Coturnix japonica: one gene and its partners. The protein of the gene in region 1 purifies or fractionates together with the protein of each later gene. This does not show direct contact. Links are inferred from orthologs where the notes say so. Each region holds a gene or a part of one and is shown in the gene's direction. Other genes may lie near its edges.

Evidence for each region.
Region 2: the proteins of RBPJ (region 1) and NOTCH2 purify together in Homo sapiens (affinity purification with mass spectrometry; 3 studies listed by BioGRID and IntAct, counting the BioPlex papers as one, with this or other methods). This does not show direct contact. The link is inferred for Coturnix japonica from reciprocal best matches to the Homo sapiens genes RBPJ and NOTCH2.
Region 3: the proteins of RBPJ (region 1) and MAML1 purify together in Homo sapiens (co-immunoprecipitation; 12 studies listed by BioGRID and IntAct, counting the BioPlex papers as one, with this or other methods). This does not show direct contact. The link is inferred for Coturnix japonica from reciprocal best matches to the Homo sapiens genes RBPJ and MAML1.
Region 4: the proteins of RBPJ (region 1) and FHL1 purify together in Homo sapiens (affinity purification with western blotting; 4 studies listed by BioGRID and IntAct, with this or other methods). This does not show direct contact. The link is inferred for Coturnix japonica from reciprocal best matches to the Homo sapiens genes RBPJ and FHL1.
Region 5: the proteins of RBPJ (region 1) and FBXO42 purify together in Homo sapiens (affinity purification with mass spectrometry; 3 studies listed by BioGRID and IntAct, counting the BioPlex papers as one, with this or other methods). This does not show direct contact. The link is inferred for Coturnix japonica from reciprocal best matches to the Homo sapiens genes RBPJ and FBXO42.

Annotation. Positions count from the first base shown.
Region 1 is NC_029519.1:66,303,065-66,307,350, reverse strand, and holds the start of RBPJ (recombining binding protein suppressor of hairless), read left to right. Parts: upstream 1-1,476; 5' UTR 1,477-1,557; coding exon 1,558-1,586; intron 1,587-4,286. UniProt on the Homo sapiens protein: Transcriptional regulator that plays a central role in Notch signaling, a signaling pathway involved in cell-cell communication that regulates a broad spectrum of cell-fate determinations.
Region 2 is NC_029523.1:4,108,392-4,111,906, forward strand, and holds part of NOTCH2 (neurogenic locus notch homolog protein 2), read left to right. Parts: intron 1-1,759; coding exon 1,760-1,872; intron 1,873-2,171; coding exon 2,172-2,701; intron 2,702-3,307; coding exon 3,308-3,515. UniProt on the Homo sapiens protein: Functions as a receptor for membrane-bound ligands Jagged-1 (JAG1), Jagged-2 (JAG2) and Delta-1 (DLL1) to regulate cell-fate determination.
Region 3 is NC_029528.1:4,563,444-4,566,958, forward strand, and holds part of MAML1 (mastermind-like protein 1), read left to right. Parts: coding exon 1-469; intron 470-2,573; coding exon 2,574-2,843; intron 2,844-3,515. UniProt on the Homo sapiens protein: Acts as a transcriptional coactivator for NOTCH proteins. Has been shown to amplify NOTCH-induced transcription of HES1. Enhances phosphorylation and proteolytic turnover of the NOTCH intracellular domain in the nucleus through interaction with CDK8.
Region 4 is NC_029519.1:4,099,034-4,102,016, forward strand, and holds part of FHL1 (four and a half LIM domains protein 1), read left to right. Parts: intron 1-1,868; coding exon 1,869-2,050; intron 2,051-2,386; coding exon 2,387-2,564; intron 2,565-2,728; coding exon 2,729-2,898; intron 2,899-2,983.
Region 5 is NC_029536.1:3,778,426-3,782,637, reverse strand, and holds the start of FBXO42 (F-box only protein 42), read left to right. Parts: upstream 1-1,402; 5' UTR 1,403-1,900; coding exon 1,901-1,970; intron 1,971-4,093; coding exon 4,094-4,212. UniProt on the Homo sapiens protein: Substrate-recognition component of some SCF (SKP1-CUL1-F-box protein)-type E3 ubiquitin ligase complex. Specifically recognizes p53/TP53, promoting its ubiquitination and degradation.

The DNA of each region.
Region 1 (4,286 bases):
CTAGGCATGAGGATGCTCGAGCAGTTTAGTGACCACCAGTTTTCAAAGTTGAGACTGAAGCAGCATGGGATCTTTCCATAGTTTTGTTCTTCCAAATGGCAGAACGTAGTTATTTTAATTATTTTTAATTCGTAGGCCTTGAAATGCAGTCCTGGGGTAGGGGGTGGGGTCAGAACAGTTAAGGTTAGCAACAGAAAGACTGTATGACAGAAGAAAGTTGGGTTGTGTTAGTTGAGTCAAAGAGGAACAGATGGATTTTCTTTGTGTTTGAGCTCTTGTGTAGATGCTAGAAACACTGGAATTTCCCATTCTTTCAGCAATAGAAAACTATATAATGTGGTGTATCCGAGTGAGGGATTCTGAATAGGATTTGACATTCTTGTATTTTCTGAAAACATTTGAAATGCATTGTGTATTTTGTGTCTTGTTTTACCTAACCTGAGAATATTAAAGCTTGAGCAGAACAAGGTTAATATTAGTGCACTTCTTCATTTCCACAGTTACTTGAGAGGCAGGCAGGTGTAGCATGTAAAGGGAGTAAGTTTGTTTCCCACTCACTACTTGCACTTCTCAATGGAGAAGTTTAAGGAGAAACAGGGAATGAACAGGGAAACAGGGCTAAATGTAGAAGATAGATTTGGAAAGAGGGATGATTTGGGTCATGATGTATAAGCAAAGTTATTTCTGTAGTGCAGAATGTACAAGTGAAATTAGTTCATGCAAACTATCATTAGTAAATACATGAAGTAATAGAATATGAAGTGGTGTTTGGAGAAAATACAGAACTGGGAAAATAATAGTTTGAACAGGTGCAGCTGTCTGCAACAGCACATTATGGCAAGCTTAATGCTGGTCTCATGTTTGCAGTGCAGTAGGTTGGGAAAACAGGTTGAGCTGAATTAGTTCTGTGAATTGTAGTGGTAACTTGACTGTATGTCAAGCATTTCAGTACAGCACACCTGGAACAGTACTTCGTAATGAATGTTGCAATCTCTACCAAGCTTGTCAGATACCCTTGAAATAACTGAACTGGCTCAGATTTTAACATGCCAGTAAATATGAAAGGTTAAAGTAGCAGCAGTCATAGCTTATACAGTGCCTGTTGTTTAGTACCGAGCTGCAGATAATGTACTTGTTGCGCTTGCAAATTCTTAGCATCACGAAATAAAAAAGCCTTCTGCATGGCAGTTGCTGTATTTTTTCACTTCTGGTCATACCATTAATACAAGTTTCTATAGCAAATTGAACGTGTATGGAAAGAGCAAACCAGATGAAGAATTAAATGTGAGAGCTGCTCTGAAAGTCTGAAGGTAATGCCTCCTATCTTATGATGTTGGCTTACAATGTCAGGCAGGTATTGGTATTATGACAGCAGAGGTTAAACCTTCCCACCAGTGTTCTGTTCCGTGTTGTTGCCATGTGACAGATGGCAGCAGAGGGCACTAAGACCAATGGTGTCTGTCATGGAGGTGTGTATGAAGCGAAGGTGTGTTGTTGAATTCTGCTGTGAGGAGAAATTGGCGCTGACTGACATTCATCAACTCTCACTGAACGTTTATGGAGACCCAACGATGGATGTTGATACGGTGAGATGATGGGTGGTGTGTGTCAGCAGTGATGACAGTGATGTATTGGACAAATTGTGTTCTTGATGGTCATGCATGCTGCAAAATGAAGACTGTCTTGATCAGCTCCTTGCTGTGTATAGGTGGTTTGTGACCAGGCGGCCGTGGATGTAGCTGAGTGTCGGCTTCTGTTTATTGGAAATAATGTGGCAACACTGAAATATCACAAGCTCTTCGTGCCAGGTCCCATGAATACTTAGACAGGAACTGAGAAAACACCCTACACAAGTATGTCTGGACCTATTAAACTGAAACAGTTTCCTAGATCACATCATCAGCAGTGATGAGACATGGTGTAACCACCACAAGCCTGAGTCAAAAGGGCAGTCCATGGAGTGTAACATTTGAATTCCCCTTTGAAGAGAAAGTTCAAGACAGCCCTCAGCAGGTAAAGCGCTGTCTTTTGGGAAAGTGGTGATCCTTTTGGATTTCCTGGTAGCCAAACAAACCATCAGCTCTGACCACTGCATCACAGTGGTGACTAAGCTGAAGACTCGAACTTCCAGTCAGGCCAGAGAAAAAGACAACCTTTCTCTTGCAACACAATAATGCCAGGCCTCATACCAGTTTGAAGACCATGGAGCACATTGCCAATCTTGGCTGGACTGTCCTACCACACCCACCGTACGGTCCAGGATTTGACTCCTTCAGTATTCTGGCTGTGCTGATGAAAGATGAGCTGCATGGGCAACATTCTCCTAGTAACAACACTGTTGTAACAGCTGAGAAACAGTGGGTCACCACCCCTTGTGCAGATTTTTGAGTGTGACATACACTTTTGTTCATTGCTGTCCAAAGTACACAGCTAATGGTAGTGACTGTGTTGAGATAGAGTTTTATAGCTGAGAATTTGCTCTATCAAGTAGTGCTATTATGTACATTGTATCTGTTGTTATTTCCATGGAAATTAATAGGAGGCGTTACTTTTAGAGCAACCTAAGTAGTACACCCAATACTTTCTGTCTTGTTTCATGTCTTATTTATATATCTTGCATTGTGCAATGTGACTAAAAAGTCGGTATCTTGGTTATAGGAGCTGCTGTGGGATATACTGTGTTCATGTCAGTATGTGGGATGGTACAGGAATCTGGTTATTAATATCAAGGGTAGGATGCACAAGGAACAGTCGTTAGTCAGCATCTCTGTTCGCTGGTGACACTGACAGGGCCTGAAGGAATTGTGTGGGACTGTGTCAGATTGGGAAAAGATTCTTCCCCACAGAGTGGTTTGCTACTGAAACAGGTTCCGCAGGCAACAAGCTGACTGAGTTCAAGAAGTGTTTGGACCACTCTCAGACATAAAGTTTGAATTTTATTGGTCCTACAGGTAGCCAGGAGTTGGACTCAATGATCCTTGTGGTTCCCTTCCAACTGGGGATATTCTGTGATTCTGTAAGGTGACATTAGTGAAGAGGTAGTAGCTGAATTTATTTACAGAGTCAAAAACTGAACCACAGTTAAGTATGTGTGACAACCTCCTGTTATACCTTGCTCTGTATGCACAGGGAAAGAGTTGCAAAAGATTCACTGAACTCACTTTGCATCTGTTCAGAAGATTCATGTTGCTACAGGCAGCACCTCTGTTCACGAGGTGATTAGAGTGAAATCATTAACTTCAGTTTGGATGAGCAGCTGGGGGAAGCTGGCATGTGGCTGATGGCAGGGCATGCCGTGATTGGAGCTCTGGTTCTGGTCCAGTTGGTGGGTTGTAAGAGGACCTGGTGTGACTTGATGCTTTCTGTGCCTCTGAGGAAGGGACCTGTTGGTACTTAGAGGATGGGTTTTATTATGTTGCAGTAATTGCAGCTGTTCTGTTTCTGTATAGGTTAGTTGTTTGTACAGTTTTTTAAGGCTGTAATTAGTGTACTCACAGAGAGAATTAATCTACTGTTTTCAGAGCTGTGCATGAGTAGATGTTGCCTTAAAGAATGAGCTGTCCTGTGTGTGGTTTCTGTGTCACACAGTTTTGAGGTGTCCTTGTGTCCTCCTCTTGGATCAGAGCTGCTGGCCATGGTGCAAACAAATACCGTGTGTGTATTGCTTCCTTTGCTCCACGTAGGCACCTCTTAACTTTTTTCTTTATGAATTAAAAGGTGCAGAGTGATTGAAATGAAGAATGTCATTCTATTCAAAGTGAGACAGCTAACCTATAGGGTTTTGTTTGTCTGTGGAGAATAGCTTAAGGGTAATCTGTTGTCTAGTCAGTGAGTCACGGAGAGATGAATCCTCTGCCATATGTACTGCTCCCACATTTCGGAGGGGACAGGAGCCACACAGGGGGGGGGGGCACACACACCTTCTGTTAGCTGGGGGTGGGGGGAGGTGTCAGTGGTTCTGATGTGCTGGGGAGGTGAAGGTCAGTAGACCTGCAAAGGATAGATGGTGGGAGGCATTGAGGTTTGGGAGCCTGACTTGCTCATTATAGCACCTGCATGTGCATATAACTGGTGCTGTTGCCGAAGTTCAGAGCTGTTAGGGATTTATAGTTTTCTGTGTAACAAACATAAAAACGTGTTTTTGTGTATTGTAAGTTTCAAGATCTGCTGGACAAGTTGTGCAGCAAGAATTTGTCACTGTTTTCTTTTAATTTAAAATAAGGCAAATAAGTGAGCAGTACACTGACAAAACGTGAACGGAGCTTAAATTAGTTCAGATGCATTTT
Region 2 (3,515 bases), on another chromosome or scaffold:
ACAATATCTGATTGTTCCTCTGTGCTGTCTCAGTTCTTGAACACTTCTTTTTTTAGGGGAAAAAAACTAAGACGTTGGACTTCCAGGGTTGTCTCAGACAAAAGAATCTCCTGAGACTCTTGACTGCCAATTTTGTTTTTCCAGATACTTTTCTCTCCTTCATATCTTCACATTTCTGTTGTTGAAGTTGTAACTCTCTGTGTGTCAGCTCCGCTTTTGCAAAGCAGCATGTGGATTTCCTCCATAAATCAGTGTTATAGTATCCATTATTAGCTTTTGGCCTCCTTTTGTAACCCTCCCTCTCCTTCTTCCTTATGTTGGAGATGGAGGTCAGGATGGGTTACTCTGTGCGTGGGCAATCTGTGCATTCCTCACTTATTTATGTGATCCTTCCACAATCCAAATTTGAATCAGAGCTTTGCAAAAAGAAATCATGCTACACAATCTTGTGTCTAGCTCTGTCTAGTCCTCTTCTTTGTCAGCATTACTGCTGTTCTGCTTTCTGCCTCCTGCTGGGCCTAAGTTTAAGCTAATAGTCTCCAGATGCGTCTGAACTTTCAGCTTTCCAGTCTGCATGTCAGTTTAGTTCTCGTGGATGCAGTTTTCCTCCATTAAAACCTTTCACTTTCCCTGCTTACCAGTGACCCCCTCTGCATGCTTTACCAATAGTTTTTACTTTTTTTTTCTTAAAAGTTAAAGATTTTGAGATTTTTCCCCTAACTCCGTGATTATATGATGCAAAGAAATAACAAGACTGACAAAGGAAGTTCCTGAAAGGACACTGCTGCAGGACATTAGCTTAGCAGGCAGACTTAAATACAACCCTTTTACAAGTTGTCCCTCACATTGCTTCTGGCTCTCATGGAAGGGTTGTTGGAACTTGCAGCATGGGGAGTGCAGACCTGCAGCTCCTTAGGGGGAACAGGCAGAGCTGTTGTGTCTCAGACATGAAATCTGTCTGGAAATGTTAGGCACGGGGGGGGAGCATGTCTCTTCCTCTAGCTGTTTGTCTTCTGCACATTCCACACTGACCCTTCTGCCTTGGAGGAGATGGAGGTGGCTTTACTGTGGTTTCTGACTAATAGGATGCCAGGCCTCTGTGGGCCATCCTGCCCTGTCTGCTCCTGTCTGTGAACAGTCAGTTTTGGCTTCACATGTGTAAAGACTTCTATAATATTTTCCTGGGAGGTCCAAGTCATGTTTAGGTCATCCTCATCTTTTTCAATGCTGGCGCCAGAGTTTCCCTCTGGATGCTGCTGCAAACTCCAGTCCATGCAACCTCACCATCCAGCTGATGAGCATAGGGAGGCTCTGCTTGCTCACCCTGTGCGCTGATGCTGTATCTGATCCTAAGGCATAATTTTCTCCCAGGAAATCAGATGCAGTATGTAAGATGTATGTATGATGACCTAACAGGTGTTCAGGATTCCTTGCTGTGGTCAGTTTGGCACCTATGTGACTTCCAGCATTGCTTGGTACTGAAGACATTCTATGCATTAATTTGTCCTTGCAAGACAGTGGGAGTTGTTTGCCCAGAGATTGGATTCATTAAGCATCTCCCTAAAAGTAAAGAGATCTCAGGGGAATCTTCAACATCTTCAGCCTTGGTTGATTTGAGGGTGTCTTTACCTTTTCTAAGGGGAAAGCTTTGTTGGAGTTTTCGACTTGTTGGCTCTTAATGCATATTTTGCTTGGTGATGATTTTATGATGCACACATGCATATCTCTGATCATTTCTCTCCATGTGTCTGTATCACAGGTCGTCACTGTGAGAGTGTCATAGATGTGTGTCCCAGGAAGCCCTGTCAAAATGGAGGCACTTGTGCTGTTGCCAGCAATATGCCTGATGGGTTCATCTGCCAGTGTCCTCCGGTAAGTGCTGTGTCCTGAGACAGAATCACCTGCCTCAGCTGTGGAGTCTGCTGGCTTATAGTCACATTAGTCACATTAACTTCACTAGGCTAGTGTTGGTTGAGGTTCTTCTCTGTAGTACGAGAAATAGTGTCCTCAGGCAAACTGTACACATATTCAGTTTATCTACTGGAAACCAAAGGTACCATAAGAAAGTGGCAGTTGAGAATGAAATTGCATGGGACACCTTGCCTCCACCCCTGAGAGTGCTGAAGGATAAGTATTGAGCCTGACCGTTTTCCCTTTTTTTCCCCCCCTAGGGTTATTCTGGGGCAAAATGTGAGTTCAGCAGCCACAGTACTTGTGGGCAAGTGAAATGCAAGAAGGGCGAGCAGTGCATCCAGACGTCTTCTGGTCCGCGATGCTACTGCCCAAGGCTGGCTGTGGGAGAGGAATGCCAGACCAACACAGGCTGTGCCAGCGCCCCCTGCCAGAATGGTGGAAGCTGCCACCCTCGTTTTCAGCCTCCTTACTATTATTGTCAGTGCCCCGATCACACCCAAGGCAGCCAGTGTGAACAGCTCGTACATCCCAGCCAGGAGCCTCTGGGATGTTTGGATTCCCAGTGTGCGGAAAAAGCGAGAGATGGCTATTGTGATGAAGACTGTAACACTCACGCCTGCCAGTGGGACGGAGGCGACTGTTCCCTGACAATGGAGGATCCCTGGGCCAACTGCTCCTCTTCATTGCGCTGCTGGATGCTTTTCAATGGGCAGTGTGACGAGTTCTGTAACACACCCGAGTGCTTGTTTGACAACTTTGAATGTCAGCAAAACAGCAGAATGTGCAAGTAAGGCTTGATCCTGAGGCTGGTTTCTTTGTGCCGCTAATATATCTTCTGCTAGTGCTTTCAACAGTGGGTGCACTTCACACCTGCTGCCTCAGCTTCCTGCTGCTTGATGAATGTGTTGTGCTTTCTGTGCAAATGTGAATAGCAGGTACTTCACCTCGTACAAGTTTTTAGTAGCTTTGCCTCCTGTCCTGATCCCTGCTCATACCTGCACCATCTGTATTTTGGTCCTAGCTGTTTGCTGCCTCTGAATGTGTGTTCCTGCTTGTTTGTCACGCTGCTTCTTTCTCTTCGGTTAATTACAGTAAATACTACAGTAGGTGATGTTCCCTTGAGGATGATGTAGCTTTTTTGTGATAGGCAGAATAAGCTGTTTTCTCTCACTGGTATCAGAACAGAACCATCTCTTTCTGGGATGTTCTGCTTTATACTTCTTCCCTGCCACCCATATGCTGGGGTTACATCTTTGTATCCTGAGCACAACTGGCATTTTACCTCAACCACTGATGACTACAAGCAGATGTAAAGTGTAAGCTCTAGGCTGTTGGTGTATTATACAGGATGTGAATGTCCAGTATGCTGCCTCTAACCCTCTTGCTGTTCTAGGTATGACAAGTACTGCGCTGACCACTATGCAGACGGCCGCTGTGACCAGGGTTGTAATAGTGAGGAGTGTGGCTGGGACGGTCTTGACTGTGCTGGGGATAAAGCTGAGAAGCTGGCAGAGGGGACCCTGATCATTGTGGTCTTGATGCGCCCTGATGAGCTGCTGCGTGACGTTCGCAGCTTCTTACGTACTTTGGGAACTCTCCTC
Region 3 (3,515 bases), on another chromosome or scaffold:
GGCTTCACAAGTCCACCAAACCAATCAGATGTCTACCTGGCAATCTGGGCCTTCTCATAGCCCACTGGCTGTTCCATATACCATGGAAAATCCCACCAGCCCTTCAGTTTACCAGCCGGACTTCAACAATCAGAAGCTCATGATGCCTAATATGGGAAATAAAAGCTCTCCAAGAGCTGGAGGCAATTACCATGTGAACATATTGGGTCATCAGCAAAACAGCATGAACCAGAACCCTGTGAATAGTCAAGGCTCAATGCTGGACTATGGGAACACCAAACCTCTTTCACATTACAAAGCAGAATGTGAGCAGGGTGTTGCAGTGCCAGGTCAGAACAAGACTCCCATGTTGGCTTACATACAGCAGCGCCAGCAGCAGCCACTATCCCACGTGAGTGATGACCAAAATGGAATGATCCTGTTGAAACCCAAGTCTGGAAACATTACCTACCGACTGCCACACAGTCAGGTACATGTTCTGATCTTTGTTACTTTTGTTTAGTGACTGACTTCAGGTTTTGCGAGAGGATGTTGGATAGGCAAGATTGAAGTATGGGTTACTCGATGGTGTTTCAGATCAGCTGCTGTGTTGTTTTAAAGAAGATGGTAATACACAGGGTGCTGAGGCAAGAGTCAAGCACTGTATTTTCCACCGAGGAAAGTTTTTAATATGCAATTTTAGGTCACGTTGGTAACGTGTGGTTTCCAGCTTAATATACTTTATGGGCAACAAATTATGTCACACTTCACAGAAGGTTCTTCTTACAAAGATAAATAGATGCTTTGTAAACTTTTGCCTGAAATAGCTCATAGAAATGCAGTGTTAAACAGCGTTCTAGCAGAAGCTTTGCTTTCTTTACCTTCTCCCTCATCCCTGACTTCTGTAGGAGTTGGCTCACTATAAACAGATACGCCTTCAGTTGCTGCTTTTTGGAGAGAGATGGGAGTGAGGGCTGCATTCTTGGTTACTTGGGTGTTACTTGGTGTTTTTCAAATCTAAGAGTTCATTACTGGTTAAGTTTGTGGGAATGGGAATGTTTCTTTAATAGGTAATGTTTGTCTGCTTGAAGGCTTTCCTATAAAGGAGAACTCCATGTTGTGCTTCTTTGTCTTACAAGATACAATAAATTTGCTATATAAAGATAAAAACATATAGCTGATATTACAGATGTGCTGCAGGTAGAAACATATATAGCACGTGAAGGAGAAGACTTTTAGGCACATGCTGCCAAATCCCCACAGTGCACATACTGGAAGACTTAATGTCAAAAAAGGTCTTTATTATCAGGACTAAAACTCCTGCAAAAGCTGATGGAGCTCCAGCTCTTGTAGTGTGTTCCTTCAGTAAAGCAAAACATAAAATACATGGCATAAAGGCCTGATTAGTCTGTGGTAAAGACCGCAGTGATGTAAAAATAAAAATGAGATCAATAATACATGCTTCATAAGACACAAGGAAAATTAATCTCTTTAAAAGCTATCGGAAGTAACGATCTAATGATATTTTTGGTGAAGGAAGAAAGAGGGGAAGGGTGAAGATGATTGTGTGTGTCACATCTATCTTTTGCTGACAAACTTGAAGGTGACCTTGTCTATGCTGCCATGTTTGCATTGAAATAACAGAAATCCTTATGAATAGTTCTGGAGAATTTCTAACAAGCTTGCTTACAGAACAACTTAGCACAGCATTACCTATATTTGGCTCATGCTTTCTTAAAAACTGCAGCAAGTGAGAACCAGCAGCGCAGACCATTAGCTGAATTCTGAATGTGAAAACAAATGTGTTTGCATAATTTGAAATGAGGCTGAACTGAGCTTGAAAATGATAACAAAATGTCAAATTCCAAATAGATTCTTATGTACAAAGAGATCAGTGCCAGGTCTTGATGGATAATCATTCCATAGTACTTTGACTTAATGGCTTTTCCCGAGTTCCTATCTCCAACACAGAAAGAAAAAAAAGCAGATTTATGAGAAAATGAATACAACCAGTTATCTATAGTTGTGTTTGTTCTGTGTAGTATCCATGAAGGCTGGAGTGGTAATGAAACGTTAGGACTCTTCATTTTGGTTAGCAATGTTTTTTCACCTATGAATAGTAAATTTTGATAGAAAAAAAAAAAGTCAACATTAGGAAGAGAGGTGTAAACTTTCAGAATTAAGTGTTGACAGGAGAGGCAGGATATAACTGTACGATGAAATTTGAAAGCTGGTTGGAAAGCTGCAAACAAAGGTAACTGAAGTTGGTGCATTTGAAAGTGCTGTTTGTAATGGCACCATTCCTCTGGCTGAGCAGAAGCGCACAAAGCTGCGTTCCCCTTTCTGAGCTGGAATTTGGGAAGTACTTTAAGTGAGGCTTGAGTTAAAGCCTCTGTTCCTGTATCCGCTGGAGCTTCTGATGTTAACTCCAACTCCTCATTTCTGTGTCTTTATTTGTAAAAATCCTGTGTCCTTTACAGGAGATGATAGAACTTGTGGTCATCTTTCCTTGTCTGTGTGACTGTACAAAGTCCTTGAGTTCTAGAGGGCTCGCCTCCTTCTGTAACTCACGTAATTGTTTTTATGTTCTGCAGGATCAAACTGCATCTCCTAATGTTCCTCGTGTTCCTGTTTCTGTCCCGGGTGCTGGTGTTGGTGCCCAGGCTCCTAATGTCACCATGGCAGGGAACCACAGCAACCAGTCGTATCTTAGCAATCAGCAGCAAGCAGCAGTGATGAAGCAGCACCAAATGCTGATGGACCAGCAGAAACAGAGAGAGCAGCAACAAAAGCACTTGCTCATGGAGCAACAGAAGCAGCAGTTCCTAATGGAGCAGAGACAACAACATCTGTTAGTTGAGCAGGTGAGGGGGATGAGCTATCTCTTTTCTTCCTTTCCACTGACATGCTTTGGTTGACCTGAAGCCGTGTTTGAAGTGTTATAGAACTACTACCACCTTATGAAATATGGGATGTAATTTACAAGATGTTTTGGTATAAATCACTGTTCTGTTTCATATAAAATCAACAACAAAACTTAACGTCTGGTTGCTGAGACGTCCTTTCTGTTACAAGGCACAATTGTGAATTAAAAGGATAAAACAGCTAGAATTTAATAGTGTGGAAGTGCAAGCTGATACTTACAGGAAGAGAAGATACACCGGTGATGATATAATTCTTTGCCTTCCTTCTTTCACAAAGGAAATAAGAGCAAAATAATAAAAGGTTGGGATACCCACGATGTTTTGGAGAGCTTTGAGCAAGGGACTGTGTAAGCTGGTTGAGTTTTGCCTTTCCTCTCTGTGAGTGCCATGACAGTTCATGTTTCAAATTCTAAATCATCTTCCATTTGTTTATTTGAGGAGAATAATTAGACATCTGCATCCAACTTGCATCTTACCCTGCCAACAGAGTTTAACTCTGCTATCCATCAGACTGTGCAGAAAGCTGCTTTAATCTCTCTCAGGGAAACAGGCTCCTTGCGTGAACCTTTCTAAGCTTTAAACCTTTTGCAAGTGTTTCAGCTGGGAGTCGGT
Region 4 (2,983 bases), about 62 Mb from region 1:
AGCTGCTGTCATAAATGTTTCCCATGTCAGCACGTGTTGTGTTACACAGGAACACAGGGTTGTGTTACTCCTTGAGCCATATGCTCGCAATTACATGTTCTGCTTGAAAGCAAACCCAAACCTGAGATGAAGAACGTTAAGATACCATTTGCTCTGGACTCTGTGCAACTGCATTTCTTCTAAATAAAACCCGCTCGCTTGATGAAGCTCAGCAGGGCTGGAGGTGGCTCGCATAGTTTCCATGTTTCCCAGCTGTTTGTTTGTTTCACTTCCTTGAAGCAGTACAAACACAGCCCTTGGCGTGGCTGTCAGCAGGACGTGGCCGTCTCCTGACCTTGGCCAAACAGCAGTTCCAGCCCCAGCCCCCACAGAGCGCAACCTTGGCCAGCTCGGCCTCTGTCCCACTTCACTTAGTTCTAAGGAAGGGAAAGGGAGTGAACCTGGCCCCTGCCTGTGCTGCAGCCTCCGTGTGCCACACTGTTCTCCCTGGGATCATCTGTCCTGGTTTCTGGAGCAGAAACGCTCCAGCTTGATCTGCAGCTCAGGCTGGTGTTGGTGTGGTTGTGCCTGGGTCAGGGCTTGCTCAATCTGATGCATGCTCGTGTTTGATGAGCAGGGGCTTAGCAGTGATTCCATGGCTGGCAGCCTGGGTTATGCGGTTGATGGTAATTCTTGAATTACTGGGGTGGGCAGGTGCCCAAGTAGCTGTTGTGTAAGCAGGTGCTCGTGCCATAAAGTGGTAGGGCTGCCTACGCAGCACCCAGCAGGCAAGTGATGGGCACTGTGCAGCTATTCCTGGGATGACAGCTACCCCACACGGCCTGACCGCTTCCTTCCTTCAGTCCATGCTGGTGCTTCAGCTCTGTCAGGAAAAGAATATCTGAACTTCTTGGTGCCCTGGCTCCATCTGGGTGCTGAGCCTGGCCTGTGAGCTCTGTAGGCTTCCTCTGAGGAAGGGCATGTGGAAAGGCAGGGATCTGCTGCATTTCATTAAGTGTAGGGAGATATTTTCTTGGTTTTTTTTTTGTTCCTCGTGACTTTGTATATGAAAGCCCAGTGACAGAGACAGCTGGAAGCTGCACAAGTATTTGGCACAAAAGGCCTTGGAGGGCTGCAGCTGGCTGCAGGCTTGGGCTGGAAGCATGGAAACTATTCTGCTCCGCTCTTGGTTGGCGGTGATTTCTGGACACAAATTAGGCGGTGCCTCAGCCAGGATCTCGCCAGGGCTGCAGCGGGTCCACCATGATGACCCAAGTCATTGTGAGTGATTAGGTACCATTATCCCTGCTTGACATGAACCAAAACAGTCTGGTGTTCTTCCTCTGAATAAGGTGACAGGGAAAGGCTGTCGTGTGGCCCTGCTCTTCCCTGAGCCATGGGGCAAGCAAACACAGCAGGTCATTCTCCAGGAGGCTGAGAGCTGCGTTTCTGTGTTTGGCCAGAGCCCATCCTGCCTCTTTGTAGGCAGAAATCTAGCATTCATATCTTGGATGGCTATTAAGGCCAAGGAAAATATTTGCGTTACTAAAACACTGCTTGTGCTAACTGCAAGCACGGTGCTTCCAGAAAGCTGGGTGGCCCCAGGAGTCAGCCCAGATCCTGAGCCCAATGGTGTGTTAACCTATCCTGGAGGCACATGGAAAGCTCTAGTGCTGGTGCAGGTGGCGGAGAGCTGGCTTGTTTTATCAAGCACTGAGCTGATAGAACTGCTGAGGTAACTTCTGCTGTCCCAGAAGCTGCTTTCTCCAGCAACAAGCCCTTCAGGCACACGACACCACCACACGCTCATAGCTGAGCCATTTTTTCATCACTTGTCAAGCCAGAACAGTTACCTCAGTGTTGTAAGTTTACCCCCATCCCTCCCGCAGGGCCCAGCAGTTACAGCGTGGGCACCATGTCGGAGCGCTTTGACTGCCACTACTGCCGCGACTCGCTGCAAGGCAAGAAGTACGTGCAGAAGGAGGGCCGCCACTGCTGCGTCAAGTGCTTCGAGAAGATCTGTGCCAACACCTGCATCGAGTGCAAGAAACCCATCGGTGCTGACTCCAAGGTAACTGCTTCGGTGCACTCAGAGGAACATGGGATCTGATTATTGTCATTTCTTAAATCAGTTTGTAAATGTTTGCTGCTATGTCTATGGCAATAATAACATACACCTGAACTGGAAGGCACAGGATGAAAAGTAGCCCTTGCTTATGGAACCCCACATCTCAAAGTTGTTAGCTTTGAAGCACCTTGTGCTACCCCCCAAATCCCAAAGTGCGTTTAGGCTCTTCACAGATGCAGCTTTTTGTATGTGATGATAACTACCATTGGGGCAGTAACTTGGTTGTATGCCGCTCAGCAAGAAGAAGGGCTTACTGCTCCCTGTTTCTGATCATTCCAGGAGCTGCATTTCAAGAACCGTTACTGGCATGACAGCTGCTTCCGCTGCTTCAAGTGCTACACGTCCTTGGTCAATGAGCCCTTCATGCTGAGGGAGAACAACAAGGTCTGGTGTAGCAACTGCACTGCCACTGAGGATGCACCCAGGTGTAAGGGCTGCTTCAAGCCTATCATCGCAGGTAAGGCTCCTTACTAAAATCAGATGTAGAAATTAAGTTGTGAAGAGCTGTTTAAGTTCTGTACGTGCAGATCTCTTCTACAGCCATTACGCTGCATGAAGTCATTGTATGCTTGTCACAGGCCTGAAATCCCACCTACAGTGTTCTTTTTTTTTCTGTTGTAGGAGACCAAAATGTTGAATACAAGAAGATGGTCTGGCATAAGGACTGTTTCACTTGCAGCCAGTGCAAGCAAGTGATTGGAGCTGGGAGCTTCTTCCCGAAGGGTGACGAATTCTACTGTGTCTCCTGCCACGAGCACAAGTTTGCCAAGACCTGTGCTAAATGCAAGAATGTAAGTCCTTCCCTTTTGCCACCACAGCTGCCAGAACTGGCCTGTAGCATGTGTATTAGAAGCTAGGAGAGTAAAACAGTAGACA
Region 5 (4,212 bases), on another chromosome or scaffold:
GCTTTTTCCAGAGCATCCTTTTATTGGCCTGAAAGTCAGTACCACTGAGCTCATCTTCGCTTCAGAGGAGATGTCTCGAGGCTACTTGTTACTTGATTTCTTAGTGAGCAGAGGAACATTGTGCTTCGTACCATTAGGCTGCAGGGTAGCTTTGCTCTGTACAAACATGAAATCCTTCCATGCACATGAGGAGCACCAGAGGTTGGCACGTGAGCATTTACTCAATGGATTGCCCTGCAGCAAACCTTGCCTCAACCAGCATTCCCATTATTCCTGTGCAGGTTTTTGGGGGCTCTTTGGGTGTAGAAATGGGTATTGAGAGGTCTTGAAACACAAAAGTGATGCTTCTATTGTGTTTTTAGGCTTATTTTTTATACATTCAGAACACAATTGATTTTGAGGTGTGTTTTCCTAATGGCTCAGCTGTCTGAAATCTGTGTATGAAGTCTGTGTACAGGCTGACCTGTTTTGTGTGTGCAAATAAATCTTCAGACTGTGTGTGATCTGGCACATTTTCCTCTATGATCCTATGAGAATTAATGTAATTAATGGCTTGCAGGGAGCCAGCAGAGGGAGTGCATGAGCATAAAACACCACAAGTCCAAGTTTAGGGTGATTTTGGTGGAGAGAATTAAGAGCAAACCCGGACACAGGTAGTGCAGCTGATCATTGCAACCAAGCAGAATAGTTATCAGAAGTGGCTCAAATTGGGTTTAGGTCAATGGGGTGGTCACTTAGTGCCTAGAACCCAGATGGGAACCCAGCCCTTACAACAGCACTGGTTCTCCAGGCAGGGCATACAGCAGGGAGGTGGCATTGAGAGGGAGAGATTGGCATTTTGCAGCTTGCAGATGGAATATAGGAAACCTTTCTCTTTAGAATTGAAGTCTTATATGGAGGAAAAGACAATTTCCTGTTGAAAAGCATCCGAAGGGGAAAGGCAGCGCTTCAAAGAACTGGGAACTGCCTGTTTTGTGGGGCTGAAAAGCAAAGCCTGGTGCAGGTGTCCACATGGTCTCTCTTATTCATCCTCCCAGCATTGCCATGTTAGGTCAGATGCTCATGGAGCAGTGCAGGGAGGATATTGCTTATTGGTTTTTTTTTTTATCTTGCCTAAAATATGCTTTTTCCCCCCCCACTGTGCTGAACTTGTCTGGCAATTGATTTTCAAGCAAGTCGGGTCTCACTGATCCAAGTTTGATCTGTGCTAACAAGAACAAAACGATATCCCTACCCCAGATCATAGGCAATTAACACTGCTGATACCATTAATCATTTGAAAGGGGGGGGGATAAGCACAAGGGGGGGAAGCTGCCATCCAAGCCCTTGGTGGCATGGCTGCTCAGGAGCCCTCGGAGCCTTGCTTTGGACTGGCTGAGCATGTAAGCCCAAATGCTCTTAATGTCTCCTTAAACACAGCTCTGCTGTGCCAGTGGAGCTGATGACAAGCAGAACAGGAGCTTGCAAAGTATGAGGAAGTGTCTGGAGCAGGTTGGGTCTTCCACCCCTAAATTAACCCTGTAGCTACTGATTGCTAAGCGCAATTAAATGTTATGTAGAGTCCCTTTCTCCTTCCAACCAAAGCAGCCAGCCAGGGCCGGGCCATTTAACACACACCTTCATTTTTTTTTCCCAAGTGAGAACGTAGCTTCTACAATTATGTTTGGATAACGAGTTCTTTGTGGCATGTGAAAATGAGCATTCCCTTCTGAGTAACGCGCTGTGACTCAGTACTATTGCATGGCTGCTTATTTTCATTCAAGAGCTTGTTTTCATTCAAGAACTTTCCCTTTGGAGGATTTTCTTTCCCTAAAATCTGTTGACTTTCTAAAAAGAAGTTGTCAAAAGCTCTGCGGGTTCAGGCACTTGTTTGACAGCTGAGCAGAGGAGGAGGGATCTCATGATGGGAACCAGCAATGCAACCTACGCTTGTGAGCTGGGGTCCATGGGACCAGGAGTGATGCCTGCAGGTAGGGGAACCTTGCTGTGTTAGGAGGGGTTTTGCATGAGCTGCCTCCTGCAATCAGGTTTTGGGGGGTGTTTTCACTTGGCAGTTTCTCTGCACTTCATGTTTCTTCTCTCTGTTCCACTGCGGTGGCTAATAATTTTAAGCAGAACAACTAGCAGGTTCTTAAGTAGATTCAGGAGGGGAGGGAAGGGGGTATTGAAGTGCACAGAGAGGAGGAAAAGAGTTATAAAATGCTTTGCCAGCTGGCAGGGTAGCAGCTCTTAGGATCGGTCAGACAAATGGGATCGGTGCTGGCGGAGCTTGGCTTCGATCACCCTTTGAGTACGCATTATTTTAAGCGGTTGAGATCATTTGGTGAGGCTTGAAGCTGACTTTTAAATGCTCTGATATGTCTGTGCTCCTGCAGTGTAAAAGCTCTCCCCTGTGCTGGGGGCTGGAAGGTGCAAAGCCACAGGGTGATGCTTTGGGACGCTTTGTAGCCGTCAGTCAGAGCAAAGCGGGGCTGCTGGGTGATTCACTGGCAAGTGAATCAAACTGCACGTGCTTTTTGATGAGACACAGCTGTGCAAATCACTTTGGTGCTTTTTGAGTGTTGGTGTTGCTCAGATATTAACTTTAGTCTGTGTAGAAGCTGCAGTCCCAGCTCAGCACAAGCAAAGAGCATCCGGAGAGCTTCTCTGCCCCTGGGACAGCTAGCACAGCTACTGATATTGGATGTTCTCCTTTAGGAGCTGGTGGGGTGCTTGAGCTTTGTGGCCTTTTTGCCTTGAGGCACTGGGGCAGGGTTATAGCACAGGGCTTTTGCCATCACTGTGGAAGGTGAGTGTTGCAATCTGCGGTTGTTCCCAGCTCCCTGGTCTCATGCCCTATGAACAGATCTGCATCTACGGCATGTCAAGCTTGGTGCCCAAATATCCCTTCCACTTGTTTATCTGGAGCTGAATTCATTGCTAATCTTGTTCTCCTCACCAAAAAAATAGCACGCTGTGGGTGTGAACTTGGAGGATGGTAATTTGTTATGCTTAGGAAATGAGGATCTAGCTAAGTGAATGCATTTGGGTATAATGATATCAAGAGGTCTGGTAAAGCCGTAATGAAGTCCTGAATACTCTGCAGTCATTTTCAGTTCAGTTAAGGGAAGGCAGAGGGATTTCCTTGCTCTCCAGAGCACAGGCTGCCATCCCGATGCCCTGCCAGCTTCCTCTTCAGTCGGCTTCCTGTAATTTTGCAGCAAGAATGTTGGGATTGCATGTGTGTATTTAATGAGCATTACAAAAAAGATGTCTGGGAGAGATGTGCCCAGCAGGAAGCTGTGCTGGGAAGCAAAGTTGGGCTGATTTTAATCGTGGTGTCATGCACTCTGCCTGCGGGTGCTGCTTGCTGTAATCTCCATCCTTTGAGGCCGCTGGTATCGATGCTGGCATGTGTGGCATCCCAGGAAGGATAAAAACCATCTCAGGTCCAGGTTTGTTTCCTTACCTTCTTTCTTAGGGAAGCCTTTCACAGCCAAGCAGCACCATCAGACACAGAACCTCTCCTGTAAGCATAGGGGACCAGGCAAAGCTGCCTGGAACTTCTGCACCTGCAGGGATGCACGACACCTGCAGATCACAGGGGAACAGCAGCAGGGCTTCCTATAGCTCCTGCCTTGCAAAGCAGGTGCTCTCCTACACCCTAAGCTGCTTGCACACAGTTTGTCTTCCTCCAGATCTTGCAGTAAGATCTGTGGCTGTGATTATTCTGTGTGCTGGAGCTCCAGAAGATTAAAATCGGGATTTGACTGTGGTCAGACTTTGTGATCTTAGTGGTCTTTTCCAATCTTAACACATCTGTGATGTGTTTGCTGCTCCAGCAGTGGTGAGCCTCCTTGCTTTGGTGATGGCGATGGTTGAGCATTTGTATGGAGCCTTTTGTCCACGTGCAGAGGAGGCTTAGTTGTGAGCTCATTCTGAAGCAGTGTGCAGCCTGCTTCAGAGCCCTGCAAAAACCACGTCCTTGGTTTGAAGCTTTCTGACGCAGAGCTCTGTATAGGCCTTTCTGAGCAACGTAGTGCTCAGTTTATATTTCTGCTGCTGTTGAGTTTCTTTTGGTGACCTCAGTGTTCTCTTTTTTCCCCACTTGCAGCTGTGAAGTGGAATGCCATGGCCAGCTCCTCAGACAGTGAAGATGACAGTTTCATGGCCGTGGATCCAGAAGAAGCTGTGGTTGAGGGAACAATGGAGCAAGATGAGGAGCCACATGCT